3 linked regions of the Drosophila melanogaster genome follow. The protein of the gene in region 2 interacts with the protein of the main gene of each other region in a pairwise test. Each region holds a gene or a part of one and is shown on either strand. Other genes may lie near its edges.

Region 1 (7,729 bases), 4.7 Mb from region 2:
GAGAAAAGCTGGCTATCAACATCACTAACCATGTTTACGTTCCGTAGAGTTCGGTTCCTGACTCATTTGACCAGCTGCAGCTAAATCCCGGCCAGCTGGCGGATTTCGAGCGCTTCCTGGAGGCCCGTTGTGCCCGCATGCCGTTGCAGCACATCATTGGCGAGTGGGACTTCATGGACATTACGCTGAAGACATCGCCGTCGGTCTTCATTCCACGCCCCGAAACGGAGGAGTTTATGCGCCTGGTGATCGATGATCACAAGAACGCAAAGCACGTCGATCTTTTGGAGGTGGGCTGCGGCTCGGGCGCCATGTCCTTGTCCATGCTACACAGTCTGCCGCAGGTGGTGGCCACTGCCATTGAGCGTAGCAAGGCGGCAACCGTTCTGGCTGCGGAGAATGCCAAAATGCTGGGGCTGCTGAATCGATTTGAGGTACACAACCACACCATGGAGGAGGACAAGTACCTGCCGGAGGCGCTGAAGGACAAGAAGTACGATTTGATCATCTCCAATCCTCCGTATGTGAAAACTGAGGAGTTTCAGTTTCTGCATCCCGAAGTCGTGGTGTAAGTGATGTTATACCAGATGGATGCAGTGCACTAACTATCTTATATCCCCAGGTATGAGAACCTTAATGCCCTGGACGGTGGGTCCGATGGATTGAGGGTGGCTCGACTGGTTTTCGACTTGGCTTGTCGGCACCTGCGTCCCGGTGGCAAGCTCTGGCTGGAACTGGGCAACGACCACCCGCCGATGGTGAAGACCATTATGAATCTGAAGTACGAGGGCCGGCTCAAGTTCATCGCCGGCTACAGTGACCAGTATCAGCGCGAGAGATTCGTTCAGATCGAGAAGGTCTAGGCGAGATTGCGCCATAGACAGGACGGAATGCTATGACTTTGACAATGCAATTAGCTATAACGTTGCCCATGCATTTAGCTGTGATTTGATTTAAGACCAGACATACCTGCACGCTGCCCAGAGACTCACACCTATATAAACAGAATATATAGCGCTATTAATCCTTAAGTTTCGTCTCTGAATCTTTTAGCAACAACCGCAGGCGGTATTACTTCACAAATATACCTGTATAAATTGCACAATGCAATTAGCTGTTTGATTTATGACCATATTATTATCAGTATACAAAAACCACAACGACTTTTACCTAAGGCTTTCTACTGCATTTTTGATCCTATAATAATGGATTAACATGATTTTAAAGATCAATAGGTTAAAAGTATAATGCACCTATAATAACTGGTCACTGATTTAAACTATGGCGATTATGATTTATAACCAGAGGCTTGCTGCCATAAATTGGAGGGTGTTAATGATCATCGCGGATCGAGTATAATGCTGTTTAATCAAACTGATGTATTCTATATCTGCGATAAGCAAAATGCTAACCATATTTTTGGCCTGAAAGATGTGTATCCTGTCAATATATAGAATCAGAATATTTCTATGCAAATTAGAAAGTTTTTGCTTAAAGTTACCACTTTAATGCTTATAGGTGTACTGATTATGAAAACAAGGACACATGTCCACAAGGATTACCATAATTATGAACCCGAGTGCATAAATCCCCCGACTTCGCATCTGAATCTTGTTGTAACCGCTCCGCTGGAGAGCTTTAAGCTCCGGAGCGGATAAAAGCTCCGACAGAGTGGCTCGGAGCAACAAGTGGCTAACTTCCGTTGCCAGTTGGAAGTCGAAACTCGCGCCGGACGAGTCTGCGGAATCCGGGTGCGCGAGTGGAACGCGGATTTAGATTGTCGTAGCTCTTTAATTCAATTGACGATTTCGAGCTGCGATCTCCTTCGTTCGGCTGGTGTGTGTTGTTTCACTTTCAAGTACGCATACATATGTGTAGTATAATTAACAAATGGCTAAATCATAATTAAAGTCGGAGTTTCAGTGGATATCACAATGAGCGCTTGATGAAAGTCAAGAAGAGGGAACTTAAAAAGCGCCGAAACAAAACAAAAACGAGAAACACGTTAAACGAGAAATTGATTTTAAAAATTCTACATAAATTTGACCATATAGATTTGGGTAAATGAATGAATGTGCATATATATGTACATGTATATATATATACATACGCCCAAACTGCGATTTGAAGGCGGTTTGAATGTGGATTGGAAACTTTTAGAAACCAATTAGCCAGATCGTGACATTACTTAATGCATTTATCCGCCCGATCGACGCGTGCAAGTGTGTGCCTGTGTGCGTGAGTGCGTGCGTGCGTAAACATGAATACCGAATTGAATCGAGTTCAAACTTGCGTTCTTTTCGCCGACTGGTTTTCCGGCGAGGCTGGCTTAATCGCCTTGCGTTTGTAATTTTAGCACACTTTCAATATTTATTGTCGGTCCCTGCTCCCCGGCGCAGAAAATGCGAATAACAATCTGAGCAAACAAGATTCGGCAACGAATTTGCAGCTTGCCGCGCTGTGCAAATAAAAGTATATATAAAAGTATGTACATATATACATTTATATATAGCTGGTAATGCCTCCTTTGGCAGCATCAATATGTGCACCTGCTACGTGCAACACCGACTTGCAGCAACAGCCAACCGATGAGCGAAAGTCGCACGCCGATTGTGTTAACAAGTGTGTGGCTGGCTGCTCCCTGCCCGCATTTTAATTCATCATCCGCACCGTGTGCCAAGGCACTGCGATTCCCAATCCGTGGAGCTGTGAACGTTTTTGGCGACCTGCAGGCTAAGCAAGCGATTTATATGCTGCCGCTCACATGGCACAAGGTCCCATCCAAAAACAGCAGCGGCCAAGATAGTAGTTCATATGCACATATTTGGGTTCTTAACAGGTTAATTGTCATTTTATAATGATATGGGTTTAATAGGTTTCCATATCTGATCCAAAACTATACAGAAATGGAAGAAAGTCATCATAGGTGATCTTTTATTTGATAATTTCTTACATAAAGTTACTACTTCTTGTTCCCCATTGTACGTTGTGTACAGTGCGCGACGGCTAAGAAAACGGAGTGAAAATCAAGATAGTCGTTATCTAGTTTAGATGGCCTTTCGCAGTCGGGGACTGGGAAACATTGAAATGCAAATACGCCGCCTCGGTAGTTTCATTTGTGTGTCAAAAATTGTGTGGGGGTGTGGGGGGTTAACCCGGCTTAGACTCTAATCTGATCGATCGGAGTGTGAGAAATGGCCTGCTAATGGAATACTTACCACTTTCCCACACTTTTCAATCGCTTCAGCCGAGTGTGTCACCTGTGCGAGCCCATTAATACCCAAGGATGAGCTGGACAAACGAAAGTTAGTTGCGATCGCGTGAAAAGGGAAACCGGACAGTCGGTTTTTTGAGTGCGGATACAAAGTCTACATGTGGCACAACGACAACAGCATCGGCCAGTAATTTAAATGCTTCGCGGCGGCAATTGAAAGGGCCAGCAATTAACCACGACTACTGCAGCTGCGAGGCATAGTGGAAAATCACTTTTATAGACGTACATACATAACTCTATATATACATAGAGTTAGCTCCTGCAGCAAAATGAAGAACCGCCAGCGAACGCGCCGAATATCGCTAAATGAAAACCACAACAGATACATGGGCAGCGGCGGCATCGATGTACAAATAGTTACCAATACAAAGGAGCCCAATCAAGTCAATTTAAATTCATCGTCAGCCACGACGACCTCAGCGGAGGCTGCTCTGCCCGCTTCGCTTCCACTTGCTCAGATAGCGCAGCAGCCACATACCCATCCCCATCCCCATCCCAATCCCCATCTCCACCAGCAACACCAGCTGATTGTGACGCCCACAACGATGACGGGCAAGTATCATCCAGCGCACGCCAAGCTGCGAAGATGCAAATCGACGCCGAGTCTCAATTGCGATGGCATGGCGGAGCCCATGGAGGAGGACCAGCTCCATCGCTTTGCAGCATGCTCACGTAACCCCGCCGCGGAGGCTCAGCAGCATGCACAGCCATCGTGCAACAGCAGCAGCAGCAGCAGCGACGGCAGCTGCAACAGCAACAAGTGCAGCAGCAACATCTGCGGTGCGCAGCCAACAACTCCGGAGTCATTGCGCTTCGGATGCGCTCACTACAAGCGGCGGGCCATGTTCGTGGTAAGTGCAACAGGCAGTCCAACTCCATTCATATTATCTATGGATGCTTTTCCAAGCATTACATAAAAGGAAAAGCCCCAGAAAAGTTATAAAAGTTATACACTTGAACTTCTTTGATATGTATATCAATACAAATTTTAATCCTTTTTTAGTGTATCGTAGTATCTATAACCATTCTTAAGATTAGTAGATAGATGTTCGTAGAAAGACTAGACGGATCCATGTATCTAGCAGTCTTACTTGTAGTGAGATTAGTTTATTCAAACCTCAAATGTGAAACCAGTCAACTTATGTGATATAAGAACAAACTTCAATTTTGAAAGTTCTTTTTTTATTTTATACGGGTATAGTTCAATTCCTGGGTCATCAGATAAAGAATTATGCAATTGGAACCCCTATGTCATGATTAGAAAGCGGATCAGTCATTTCACTTTTATAAAATGAATCCTAAAAATACATTGAAATAAATTCAAAGTGATAAAGCCATTAAACATTTCACCCATTTGGAAAATTTTCAAGAAGATTATGATGGCGCCTCTAAATGGCATTTGTATGCCTATTTATCCATCTATCTATCTATGTGTGTGTGTGTGTCTATCCAACACAGCTACCTTCCTGAAAATGGGCGCATTTAACCTTTATTTATTCGTTCCTAAACAAATAAAGTGGCTAAACTCTAAACAGACACCTTTGGCGAAGATTCTTTTGTGTCTGTCTGCTGACTAGATTTTGAATTCAATTGGAGGGCATCGCTATTTGCACGGCAAGTGTTTGGCTTGTGTGGACAGCTTGACGATGTCCGGCATCCAAAAAACTAACTGGTCAGCATGCTCCGCTGAGCAGGAACTGAGCAGGAGGCGAGTGGCCACTGGCCAGTTAACACCTCCATTCGCCATTCATCTGGGCAAACAATGCGTTTGTCTTGATCGCTCGCGTTTGGATAACAAATTATGGGGCATCTAAAAATGTTGTGTGTGCATATAAAGCAATCGTAGCACGGCTATATTCAGGTTCTTTACCTTAACAATTAGTAGAGCCAGCAGACATAATTATCGTAAGGTGATAAGTACAGAAGTTCGAAGGTGGGAAAAGTAACTCAGTGCTGGGGAAAGTGGTAACCATTTCATGTATAAAGTATCTCATGCAGAGAAGACTGCAGCTGCACTTGATTAGATAGATTTGTTTGTGAATGACCTGGATTATTAAATAAAGAAAAAGAAAGTTAAATGTAAATATTTAAATACTTATAATTCCAACAGTAGTGAGCGCTTATTTGTTGTTGAAAAGCAGCCAATTCGCGATATGAATTATTAATTCCCCAAAAATTCTGTATTATGCGCTATGGCCTTACAATACTTTCCAAAAAATGTCACGTAAATCCGTACACACGCTTCAATCTGTCCCACATTTTAATAAAATTCGAATGTAGAGGTTTTTGCTTTCGTCTGTGCACCGCGAGAAATTCGGATAAGCGAGGGTTTTGTGCACTAATGAGGTGCCCATTGAGTGTTGAATCAGCTGGGTTATTTTATAGTCAAATATTTATTTTCGCCCGACAGTGCGTGAAATAAATGTATACATGAATGTGGACATAAGCTGAGAGCAGTATGTGCAATCCCCCAAGTGGAGCAATGCCCCATGGATATCGCCTGTTCCCGCGAATCTTGTATCAATTTGTGTTAGAAGCTTTGTTTCGTCTTGGCTAAATAAATTTGAGATGTCTGGAGTTAGCCAATTGCAGATGCAAACGATCATTAAAATACGATCGTTAGTGAAGCACAGCAATGAAAGCCGGGGGGAATGACAAAGAAACCGGATTCGAAGACTCTTCTCCGGTTCGGTTCTGTACTTCGAGTGTTATCATCGCAGCAGCAGCAGAGTTGAAATAAATACTTGTATACGAAAAAACTGTTGTTAAGTTATAAATAATTCTCAAAGATAGTGGAGATAGATGTGTGCGCGAGGCTGGAGGCAGATACAAATGGCTGGGTGTTGGCTGTAACTAAGCCGAACTCGAGGATACACAAGATAATTAAGGGCATAAATTAACTTATTTTCAAACTTTATCCCCAAGACAAAACTGATAGAACTATATCATGTAGTTCGAGCTGTGCATCGACAGGTGAACTAATTAGCAGCCACCTAATTAAACGACACGAGTACCTTTGGCATCTTTACAATCGGATTGGGATTCACCCGCTGATTTGACTCGAAATTCGTACAAAATTCGATTCAGTTTCAAGTGCCTTGTTTATGATAATGCTAAGTTATTGCCTTTGGCATGTAGACGTCACTAGTAGATTTGTTTTTTAGTCGGTTTCCAGGCAGATTTCTTAAATTAGCAACTCCATTTGGGGAGTTAGGAGTCGTGCTAATTGCCGCTCGATAATAGGTTTTTCGTAGTCCTTGACTGAGGGGTGTAGTCCATCGGCAGGTGTGGCGGGGAGCAATCTCAGCTCCATTTAAAGTGGAATTTTTTCGAGCAGCGATTTCTTTTCAGCACTAATTTGATCTGATACTGATCACGCAACTATATCTTTCTCAGACCCCCTGCTGCAACAAGTTCTACAAGTGCCGATTTTGCCACGACGAGAACGAGACGCATCACTTCGATCGCAAAACGCTCACCGAACTAATATGCTCCGAGTGCAATACGCGGCAAACGGTGCGGGAGCAGTGCCTCAATTGCGGCGTGAGATTTGGTAAGGTAAGATATCCATCCAGGTGTCCAAAAATCACAGCAAAACCCTACTAGTAATATCATTTTGATGTACTTACAGTACACCTGCCTGATCTGCAACCTCTTCGATGATGCGGACAAGCAGCAGTACCATTGTCATGGATGTGGGATTTGTCGCATTGGCGGTGCGGAGAACTTCTTCCACTGCGAGGTGTGCAACATGTGCCTACCTATTCAGCTGAAGATCGATGGCCACCGGGTGAGTTGGTACTACATTTGGCACTTCATTGGGCTTGATTAAGATTTGGCCTGTAAGTGGGAATGCTGACCTCCGCGATTCGAAAGCAAATCAAAGAAACACATTAACTTTTTTTTTTTTTTGTCAATTCATTACCAAAACCGGTTGCCTAATTGCTATATGTAGCGATATATGATCTGCGATCTGCAATCTGGGATCCAGTTGAGTGGATATGAATGTCAAATGTGCTGAAGCAATGACTTCATTAATTGACAGCGAATTGGGCCAGAGACTGGCATGGCTGATTGCTAAATCCTTGCTAATTGACAACGTGTCTATTTTCCCGTAGTGCGTGGAGAACATCTCGCGATCGCACTGCCCCGTGTGCCTGGGCGACATCCACACTTCGCGCATACCCTGCCACATTCCCGACTGCGGACACCTGCTGCACAAGATGTGCTTCGACCAGCTGCTGGCCTCCGGCCACTACACCTGTCCCACCTGCCAGACCTCGCTGATCGATATGACGGCGCTGTGGGTATACTTGGACGACCAGGCGGAGCGCATGCCGGTGCCACTGAAGTACGAGAATCAGCGAGTGCACATATTCTGCAACGATTGTCACAAGGTACGACTAGATATACATAATACTAACATTCATGAAAAGCTCTTATAACCTTATCCAA
Region 2 (7,092 bases):
ATCAAGTCCAAGTTGGTAAGTAGTTGAATTTAATGCGCACTAGTTTCCCTCCGACTTAAAATCGCTTTCACAAACAGCTAGAGCAGCGAAATCAGCGGCATACGGACACCAAGGGATCCCGCGACTTTCTGGAGTTCATGATGGCTGGCGCTGTTTCCAAAACCATCGCCTCCTGCATCGCCTATCCCCACGAAGTGGCACGCACTCGTCTGCGGGAGGAGGGCAACAAATACAACTCCTTCTGGCAGACCCTGCACACTGTTTGGAAGGAGGAGGGCAGAGCAGGACTCTACAGGTGGGTAAAATAGATGAGCAGAGTGAATTTTCAATTTGATACGACATTAAGGCAATCAACTTGTACTTAGGGATTCCCTTGTTCGTGTAGTTCCCTTGAATCCGTCTTGAAATAGAATCGAAGGGAATCCCACTTGCACTCCGACATGTATATAAGAAACATATACATATAAGCTAATGAATTATCATAATGTGCCACCCACGAATTCGTGAAATCTATTTAAATTCTTTTGCGTCGCATATTTTTTGTTTGTTTACCTTAATTTGATTATCACTCTCGAGCGTGCTCACTCGAGGTGTTTTATATATGAGAGCTCTACCTTAGCAAATTCTCCTACTAATTGTAAACTTTACCAACTATTTCCACAGAGGCTTGGCCACGCAGCTGGTGCGACAGATTCCCAACACGGCGATCATGATGGCCACCTATGAGGCGGTCGTCTATGTGCTCACGCGGCGCTTCAACAACAAATCGAACGAGTTCTACGACTTTTAGATGCCTTTCAAAGGACTGGAGAAGGAGTAACCCAATCTGTGCATATGTAGACGCGACTGCTGCAACTTTATGTAATTTTATCCCTCGTTTTTAAACGATCCAAACCAACGAGCGCAAATTCTTAGTTAACTAGCTTCTAAGTCAGATATGAAACGAACTCGATAGACTTAAGACGTTAGACGTTGAACGTTGGCCAACCAATCGAAAAAAAAAAAGAAGCAAACAAAGAAAAAACCAATAATGGGAAACACGCACCAGGATCGAAGTGCACCATCCACACCCTAAACCCACTTGCTGCATGCCACAGAAGGATGTGGTATGCCACCGCAGGGCGAAACGTTATCAAAATTTGAAAAGGCTGCTATTTAGTTAAAGTTACAATATATATTGAGTGTATAAATGTGGTTGATACTTGGATAATATAGTGTACATAGGACTCGATTCGCTCAGAGTGCATTGTAAATAGTTAAAGAGTGAGTTCGCTGGCGTAGTTTTCTTAGTTGTAAGCACAAAATGTTGAATCGGCCGCAGTTGCCAGTAGATGCCGCTAAATATATATATATATAGATATAAAGCCGACCGATCCGATTCGTAAACTGTAAAAGTTTCCGTTAAGTTTCCTCAAATGCGATATACGATTTAGTTATCATTACTCTACTATATTACTTTAACTATATTGATACAATTTTTGCTGTTTATTTAGTCCATTAGTTAGCTAGTTAGTTAGTTATCCCCCCCCCCTCCACGCAAAACGTATTTCACTGATAATGAGCAAAGAACTAAGGAAACCACTGTGAATAATTGATTGCAATCCGATTTGATGGTGAAATCAATAAATACAACAATTTTGTTTAAAAATAACCCACTCGTTTCCCATTTAATATATATGTACATTATCTTATCTTAACAATCGTCTGCAGTCGAACATAGTTCATCTTGGCTAACCAGACTGCCGCCCATAAAAGTGAGATGAGATAAGCCGATTTGGCCAAGATAATACGATTTCGCACAACTAAATTAAAGTGATTTATTGGCTAGCTACTACACTGCGAAAGTAGTGGTAGCTTATTGTAAATATTTTATTTTTCTGAATTTCAAAAATTTAGATCCTGGTTCGGGTACGTGCTAAAAACATAGCATAGCCTGGTTCACAACCTATGTGCTCCATCGAAGATCTCCACCACGTGAGCGATCGCAGTTGTAGTCCATCTATATCACGCCACCACCACGCTCAGCGACGTAACAAAGTGCCGTCTCTAGTAACGTAAGCAGTGTTTCGAGCAACAAGTTTATTTTATTTTCATAAACAAAGTTTGTTTAAAGCGAAAAATCCTGGCCAAAGTGCTAATTCGTTGGCTATTCCGCGAGCAACCTTGATAACGAGTCGCAGAGCAGTCATAGAGCAGCGCAATTAACCCCGATACAAAGCAATCAGTGCAATTGGAGCAGCTTGAAAGGCACACGCCAACAAATCGAGATCGAGCTGATCGAGTCGCGTTGACACCCATCATTCCGCCATGCAAATCGATGCACTGGAGGCCTGAATATGCTGCTCAGCGAGACCCATTTCTGGACCACGTTGCGCGAGGATGTGGTGCGGATCAAGAGCCAGGACCTGGGCGCCTTTCGCTACCTCAGGCAGCGCGACAAGGAGCAGGAGCAGCAGGACCTCGCCTGCCTGGCCAAGCGAGACTATACGGAGCGTCGCAATGGACTGGCCGTGCTGAAGAACTCTGGTCGCAAGTCCACCGGCCGCTTGAAGGACAACCTCAAGAAGCTGGAGGACCTGCTGCGCCAGCACAGGATCATCCACTCCGAGTGGCAGGACGCGGCGCAGGTGCTGCTCCTCTTCTCACACGGCCTGATCGCCCACATCTGCGTGGACATCTACACGGGCGACATTCTGCGCATGGTCTTCGAGAAGTACCTGGTGGGCAAGCTCGCCTCCGAGGTCATTACGGATGGTATGTGCGATTCTCTCCTTTCACCCGCTCCAGCCCGCCCTCCATCGCATTAGAGCCATCCATCAATCAGCTTGGGCATTGCATTTCTGCATGTGCAGCTCGACTGGCAGACATCTCAACTTGCAGCGTTCGAAAATCAGTTAATATGCGTTAACATCACGCAATACATAATGGCTATTTCAGGCGTAATTAAAGGTTCCTCATCATTAGAACGAATTACCAAGACAGCTTGCTAGAAACACATGCATGCCATTTAATTATTCACTAAGCTCTCAGCTATAAAAGCTGTCCTGCATTTAGTTCTTTGTGCTGTTTGCCGCTTGTCATCCAGGGTATCAGTCATTCGATAGAGTGCAGTCCGCATTTGGCCTTGCTCCGCGGAGTGCTGCTTGTGCAGTTATGGAGAAATTTGCATTGGCAACAAGTGCGACTTGATTTGCACTTTCCCACACCAACACAGCCGCACGCACACATGCAGGGCATGCAATTATTGTAATTTTTAATTAATCTGCTGGCTTGTTTTGTTGCCTGTAAATATGCGAACCCCCAACCCCTTTCCCCCATCCACCATCCTCCGGCTTTCCATGTTTTGTTCGAGCCACTCATTCAGCTTTGTCGCTTGTGTCTCTTTTCTCGTCGTGCGCCCGCATCCGTTGTCTCGCCAGCTTTTTTCACCCGTTCCCACATCGTCTTGGCCTACAATACCAACCAGCTGACGGTGGTGCATCTGCAGAGGCCTAATGCTCGCTCCCAGGGACCGGAGAAGATCGCCAATATGGATCCGCGCATCTTCCACGTGATCATACCGGGCGCCACAGAGCGCAAACTATCCCGCCACCTCACAGTTAACGCCAGCTTCGATCTGTTCGTGGTTTGGACGCAGTCCTCGCAGAACGAGGTGTATCCCTGGAGGCCAACGATAAGGGACCAAGATCGTGCCAACATACATGTGTTCAAGATCAAGGGGTAAGTTGCACAGTACAACTCCCACTCCATGGCCCAGTCTAATCGCTTTGCTCAGCTTGCAGCTGGAATCGATTGCCTATTGCTGGTCGGAGAACGATCCGCTGTGCGTGGACTTCCTGCGAAGCAGCGAGAGCCAGATCATCACCCTGGAGCAGAAGGTTTCCCGCAAGGGCGACATAAGCGCAGAAATCTGCTCCTACGAACTGGCCGCCGGCAAGATGCAGCGCACCGCCATTACCTCCATTCCAATGGGCGCCCAGATCTGCTCCTTTGCCTTCAGCCCCGACCAGGAGAAGCTCTTCCTGGGCAGCGTCGATCGCAATATCTGCCTGCACGACCTGGTCCAGCAGTCGACAAAGTACGCCAACCAGATTGAGATCGTGCCCAATCAGTGCGCCTGGCACTGCGACTCCGCCATGCTTTGCGTGGCCAACGAGCGATCGGTGCTGCAGTGCTTCGACCTGGCGCTGGCCACCATTGGCCATCAGCTGGTTAGCGAGAATGTGACGCCGTCCAGCTTGCTGGATCTGTCGCACTACTTCGTGGCCCAGCCAACGCTGCTGAGTGTCGCCTTCAGCCGAAAGCCAGATTTGTCCACTTTTAAGCACACCTACGCCCAGACGGATTGCCTGCTGCTGCTGGTGTACGAACAGGGACCTTTGGCCTGCATGCGCATCTTTGGCGGCACCGGAATGCGCGGCGACATCCACAATTCCGGACTCACTGCGGACGTCATTGCGGACAAGTATCTGCGGCTGCAGCAGCCGGACAGAGCGGTCAATGTCCTGGCCGCCCTCAACTGGGAGACCTACGGAGCCATGTGCCTGATTACGCTGCACAAGATAGCCAACTATGTGTTCTTCGGCGGTGACCAGCGACGACCTCGCATCGAGCTGATGGCCAGAGCGTTGAAGACATTCGCCCACACGCTTTCCGAGGAGACGAAGGACGAGTTCAGCGATCAGGTGTACGATCTGAAGCGCCGCTTCTGCTTCTATCTGCTGCGGTGAGTTGAGCTCGTGTGAACATGCCACTTTTATGCTCAATCCTTTCGTTGCTTGCAGCAAAAACCTCTTCGCTGAGGCCTTCGAAATCGCCCAGGATGTGGCCGACTATGACATCTTCATGGACCTGTACAACCTAACCAAGTGCATCTCAAGCCTGAGTGAGTTCGCCCAGGTGGCCTTCAGTCAGGCAGCTGCCATAATCCACGAGGAAGATCGCGCCAACGGCAATCTCAGCCTGACCTGTGACCTGCGCTCGGAGTCGGCCTGTTCGCTGTCCACCTGCTCGGACATGTTGCGCGGTCAGGGAGCAGGAACTGCCCCCGAAACCGGACTAGGCGCAAGTCAGCCACAAAGCCAGCAGGTCCTGAAGAACTATGTGCCACCGCTGCCCTCGTTCAAGTCGAAGGTATTCAACGCTGAGATGATCAAGATCAACATACCGAAACCGGAACTGAGGCCGCCCTTGCCGAAGGTTTCAATAGCGCCGCCAACATCTTCGCTGGCGAGTCTAACCCTGAAGTCCAACAGTAGTCTGCAGCAGGCGCCCGCAAAGAGTCTGCATCCAAATGGTTCGTGTGAAGAAAATTCCCTTCATAACTTAAATAATTTATCCATTATTTCAGGCAATTTGTGGTCCCAGGACGTGCCGGATCAGACGGTGGGTCTGCCTATGGCTAGTAGTCCACTTCCTCGTCTTCCGCCTTCAAACATTCCAGATCAGAGCGCCCAGCTGGGTCAGTTCAGCACGATGCCAGCTTCGCCTCCGCCGACAGGGTCCTATCAGCCCAAGTTTTATCAACATCCGCTTGTCTCTGGCAATATTCCCGCCATGCTGCCATCGCTCACCAGCGAGGACTACCAGAAGCGCCTGCTGCAAAAGAAACCCACCGCATCCATATTGTCCAACCCGGCGAATCCAGCACCCACCAACGGAGAAGCACCCGCCACGCCCGCAAAGTCACAAACGGCCGAAAAGAACAAAGTCAAGTTCTCGGATACAATTCAAGTGGCGGTGGTGCCAGTGAGTTAACAAATCAATCGATGATGTGACAGTTTACTAATGCTCTTACTCGAACAGGAAATTCCTCGCAAGGAAAAGCCAATGCCACCCAAGAGAAATGGTTACTCCAGGCCCGCTGCGCGACATCTGACAAATCCTAAAAAGGAGCTCGCAGACAGCCTGCCGCTCTGTCATCCGAACGACGAGTATCTAAAGGATTTCAACCCCATTACGACCAGTGGGTATTTGTTGAGTTCACCAATAACCTTGCCCCATTGACCGTGTCATTTCTTCGCAGATGTGACTAAGCCGCCCATCCGACGACGCGAGGAAGAACCCAAGAGCAGCAGCAAGGGCGGCAACTCCTCCTCCTCCTCGTCGTCCATCAAGGTGGTCCACTTCGGCGTGGTCTAATAATTCATAGTGCAATTCCCAGGCGTACACCACACAACGGTTAAGCGCTGCGTCTTCCAATCGTTTGTAACTATTGTAGTAGGCTGCTCCTTCTACCCTCTTCCTTTACTCTTAGTCATACATACCTAATTATACATAGCCAATCTAGTCATAAGCTTATACACTCATACACCCATCCTTAACATACAAATATTATCGAGAAACTTATCGACTAATCGACTCGCCACTCTGCAGAGAGCGCGGCAGTCAGTCGCTGTTGAACCAAGCTAAAGGACAGATCAAAAATAAAAGAGACACGTGAAATTGTATTAGAATATTAACTTCTGTAAACGGCGGCTAAACTATTGCCGTCCCAGTTAGTGCAAAGCTTTAAATAGGAAAGTTTTACTCATAGGTTCTCTATACTCTTTACACAGGTTACTCATTAAAGCTAAGCATTAAATGTTTGCCAAATCGGAGGCGCCGCCTACTTCTTCCTGGTGGTGGTGGGTCCGCCCATGCGCTCCAGCTCGTCCTTCAGGTCGAGCAGCTCCTTGTCGGGCACGTAGCGCCGCTCCTCGCAGTCGTCGGTGTACTCCTGCACCTGCAAGCTCACACCCTCGGGCAGCGCCGCCTGGGCCAGGCGCAAGAACTGCGGATAGACTGGCGCATCCACATTGTTCAGCTGCAGGTTGCGCTCGTAGGTGGTCAGCTTGTACTCCGATTCGATGACCGTGGAGTTGGGCCGCAGTCGCTGCACCGTGGTCTTTTGCGGAGGGAGGGCGTAGCAGTCGGAGACGTCCAAGTCCAGGTACTCGGCCAATCCGTGCAGAAACCTCTGGTAGCTCTCCAGCTGCGGGTAGTCGTAGCCCTTGATCTGCACATTCAGGCTCTCGTACTGCGGGAATTTCGGCTTGAGGGACTGCAAACGGAGAACAATGGTTACTGACCACCAAAATAATTGCTCATCTA
Region 3 (3,680 bases), about 15 Mb from region 2:
TGCCCCTTTTCCGCATTTACAAATCCCCCCACCCCTTTAACGGGTCTAACTGCGTCCGCTCTGCACTTGTACACATCCTGACATACACATATATATTTTTTATTTCCCAGCCAAGTGAGGCTGGAATCAAATGTCAATAGAGAGTACATTTCATTCGGTCGGGTGACTGGGTTTTTCTGCCCAGCGCCACCCACTTTTCAGTTCCCCGCATTGTAGCTGTCACAGTGTTTGTTTGCGGATTTGAAGCTTTTCCTCTTTGCAACGCGCTTTTTTGCCACGCCTGCCGTTGTCCTTTATCGAAGGAGCGGCTTGAGTATTACGAACTGAATGCAACACCTCGATATTCTCGATACCTTATTTAATCTCATCGGCATTATCAAAATGAATCCACTTATCTGCTTTCATACTTTTTGGAATATTAATATAGTTTCTTGTATTTAAGAAATAAAATGTGTCAATCAATGTATTGCTTTTCTTAAAGAAATTTTTCCAATTTAATTTATATTTTTTTGGGAAATCGTCACCTAGAGCATTTCGAGTTCGTGTGGCCTTCCTCAAGGATCTCTAATCTGCTTTCTGGTTCGGATTCTGGTTTTATTTCCGGGCATCCTCCGATGCTGTCCGCCCCTTTGCCCGCCCACCGACTAGATGCTTTGGACTTGCTTTTTATTTGCACGGAAATGTATAATTTTTCCGAGTCAAATGTAAATACTTTTAGCGTATTTTTGTGGGATTCATCGCCTTGAATTTTTTGTGACTGGGGGCCTGGGGCGTGGCACATGCAAATGACACGCCTGATGCTGCGTAAATAATTTTAGCGCTCTCTCTTTTGGCATAAAATGCTAAATAAACATTTTATTCTTGGCAGAATTCCTTCTTCGAATGTGGGTCAAATGGAGTGTCCATAAAAGGCGCTTTTATCCCAAAACCAGATGCCGAAAATACAGTTTAATTGTATGCATATTGGCTGCGGTTCCGTTTGAGTTGGTGGAAACGTCACGTTTCAACAGCTCAATTTTCGGTTTTGCGATACGCGAAGAAACTTTTGCAATCCAATTAAATTCATCGCAAGTCGAAATCTCGTTTTGACAATTTATGCATCCTTGTGAGACGCCACAGGCATATTTATTCCCATCGATGGCTAGACAATGACGCCTGCGGTCCAATAAATAACCGTCCTTTTGACACAATCGAAATTGGCTCGCAAACAAATTTCTTTTGTCGAGATATCGCCCTTTTTTTTGTGCCCACTCGCACCAGAGGTTAAACACTTAACCCGCGTTGTGGGAAAAATGTGACATCAAATTATGGAACGTAGGCAAATCGCGGCCGTTATCAAAAAATGTAGTAGCCATGGTAGCCAGACTGAAGTCCACGATATGGTTTGATTAAGCGAAGTCGTGGGGTAAATTTACAAGAAAAAAACGAAACGCAAATGAGAGCGTCAAATATATTAAGGCATTTGCATTGGAAGTATTATATTATTTTTCTAATGATCATGATTAAAATGAATTACTGAATTTTTTCCGATATAAGGCTAAGCTAGTTAACATAGATTAAAACATCAAAGCTAACACATCTAGTTCAGTCTGGGCAGAAATAAAACTTAAACGTATAAACATTTTATATATCCCAAAAATAAGAAGTAGAACCTAAAAAAAAAAAACAAACACATTTTGTCTTATAACCATGACGACTAAAAGAACAAGGTTCGATAAAATGAACCTGGGAGTACCCGTTCACTCGGACCCCTATGAAGTGGAAAATGAATCGGCCTCGTCAATAAAAAGAGAAACCGGCGAGAAGGTCATGTCTCATAAGGAGCTAATGGAAAAACTGCATAAGGAGGTGAAGCTCACGACGCCGGACTTCTTCGCCCATGATCCATCCTGCAGCTCGGACGACTCCGAAGATTTCGAATTCCTGGAGACTATCAAAGAGCGAGCCAGACGCATATCCTTCGTACGACGCCGAAAGCTGCACTACACTGAGTTCTCAACGGTCGAGTTGGCCAGGCGTCTGATCCGCGAGGAGTTCACAGAGTCATCGGAGAGTCAACTAAGCGTGGATGATGAACATATCTCCGAGATCGCCGAAGAGGAGTGTCCGCCCTGCGGCACAGACTCCGACGACTTACTTCCGTACTTCCAATACGATCGGGCTACAGACCAATCGATGATTTCCGACGACAGTCTGCCAAAGGAGGATCCCGAGCCCGGATTCCATCCCGCCCATCATTGCTATAATAAGCTTATAAGCCAGACTCCTGATCCGCCGATAGTGTACGTTCCCGCGGAACCAGAACCGCAACCGGAACCGCAACCGGAACCGCCAGTGGAACCGCGACCGGAACCGGAACCAGAACCAGAACCGGAAACAGTACTACCACCAACTGCTCCGGAAGTCATTGATAAAACAGCTCCAGAAGAAGAAAAACACACTAGGGTCCTTGACCGTGGCGAAAATATTGACCTAAAGAATTTGAGCGCCATACAGAAAAACATAAGTTCGAGTGTGAAAAAACATACTGGTCAAAAAACGCGAAATTTATAAACTTAAATTGATTGATGCAATTGATGTATATGGGATCCCATTTCTCATTGTGCATTAGATTAGTGTTGCCTAAATTAAGAAAATGTTTCGTTGGCTGGAAATCAAAATCCAATCCGTATAGCCCAAATGCTGCGAATGTTTTTACTTCATATTCCAGAAGTTATATAAGGCTTTATTTTAATCGTAAAGTCAAATAAACCCATATTCGTAAATGCATACAAGCTAATGTAGACACCAAATAACCGTAATCGCCTCTGATCTCAAATGACTCCATCAACGCTCTCTTTCCCCAGCGCAGCTTTAAAAATATAGTTTTCTCGACCCGGAGACCGCACAATTATTTGGGCCATAAAGGACAAAACCCGCACTAGCGCACACATGAAGGGACGGAGGACATTCAAAGGGATAACTAAGTGTGCACGATAATGACGCCTAACGGGTTCCATTCTTCTCCTTGCTTTTTTTTGCGTGGGTGGATACTAGGAAGATGAGACAATAAGGAGCTAGAAGGACAATGTGCTGAAATTATTTCAAAAGTCTTTGTGTGCGATGAAATTCCGTAAAATACAGCCATTTTGTATTGGCCTTTTAATTTAATAAAATTATTACTCTTAGGGATAATATGGATTGGTTTTAAGTTTACTTTCTGTAATATGTAATTAATATTTAGTTAGTTCAATTCATAAACAAGAATTATGGTATTTTCATTCATCACAATAATTGTCAAGCAAGTGCCGATTTCAATTCTTTTGTTTGTTTTCAGATCTGTATGAGCTCAACTTACATTACAATATTTCATTTATTATCCATACCCATTTTTTTCATTTATGCAAGCCAACATGGCTTTGTAGCCTGTGCGTGTAAATGTTTTTGATTCTTTTAAAATATTTTAATTACGGAAGTTTACACATACTATTTCTTTCTTTTGTTTTCTTTTTTGTGTCGGTCATGTTTTCCCTTTCGATACCGGTCATTGTTTTGTTTAATTTTTGTATACACGTTAAATATGTATAGTGATAAGAATTGTGCAAGTTTTGTTTGAAAAAACTGCCACGTCCGTCGGTAACTCTCTTACCTCCATGAGCTAAAAAACAATTTACAGCCTACACTTTTGAAAACCGAGTCAA

Evidence for each region.
Region 1: the proteins of frtz (region 2) and Rchy1 interact in a two-hybrid assay, tested with the Drosophila melanogaster proteins (one large-scale study listed by BioGRID).
Region 3: the proteins of frtz (region 2) and CG12620 interact in a two-hybrid assay, tested with the Drosophila melanogaster proteins (one large-scale study listed by BioGRID).

Annotation. Positions count from the first base shown.
Region 1 is NT_033779.5:6,459,658-6,467,386, reverse strand, and holds the start of Rchy1 (ring finger and CHY zinc finger domain containing 1), read left to right. Parts: upstream 1-1,717; 5' UTR 1,718-1,858; intron 1,859-3,247; 5' UTR 3,248-3,543; coding exon 3,544-4,125; intron 4,126-6,670; coding exon 6,671-6,832; intron 6,833-6,905; coding exon 6,906-7,064; intron 7,065-7,392; coding exon 7,393-7,671; intron 7,672-7,729. Other genes in the region: HemK1 (HemK methyltransferase 1), read left to right, coding at 48-568, 623-863.
Region 2 is NT_033779.5:1,710,801-1,717,892, reverse strand, and holds frtz (fritz), read left to right. Parts: upstream 1-2,041; 5' UTR 2,042-2,336; coding exon 2,337-2,754; intron 2,755-3,419; coding exon 3,420-3,720; intron 3,721-3,775; coding exon 3,776-4,726; intron 4,727-4,784; coding exon 4,785-5,296; intron 5,297-5,350; coding exon 5,351-5,748; intron 5,749-5,805; coding exon 5,806-5,965; intron 5,966-6,025; coding exon 6,026-6,141; 3' UTR 6,142-6,591; downstream 6,592-7,092. Other genes in the region: Rim2 (replication in mitochondria 2), read left to right, coding at 1-15, 78-295, 664-790; mRpL48 (mitochondrial ribosomal protein L48), read right to left, coding at 6,608-7,042. UniProt on the Drosophila melanogaster protein: Probable effector of the planar cell polarity signaling pathway which regulates the septin cytoskeleton in both ciliogenesis and collective cell movements. Functions cell autonomously to regulate wing cell hair polarity and number.
Region 3 is NT_033779.5:17,086,036-17,089,715, forward strand, and holds CG12620 (uncharacterized protein), read left to right. Parts: upstream 1-1,605; 5' UTR 1,606-1,689; coding exon 1,690-2,553; 3' UTR 2,554-3,151; downstream 3,152-3,680.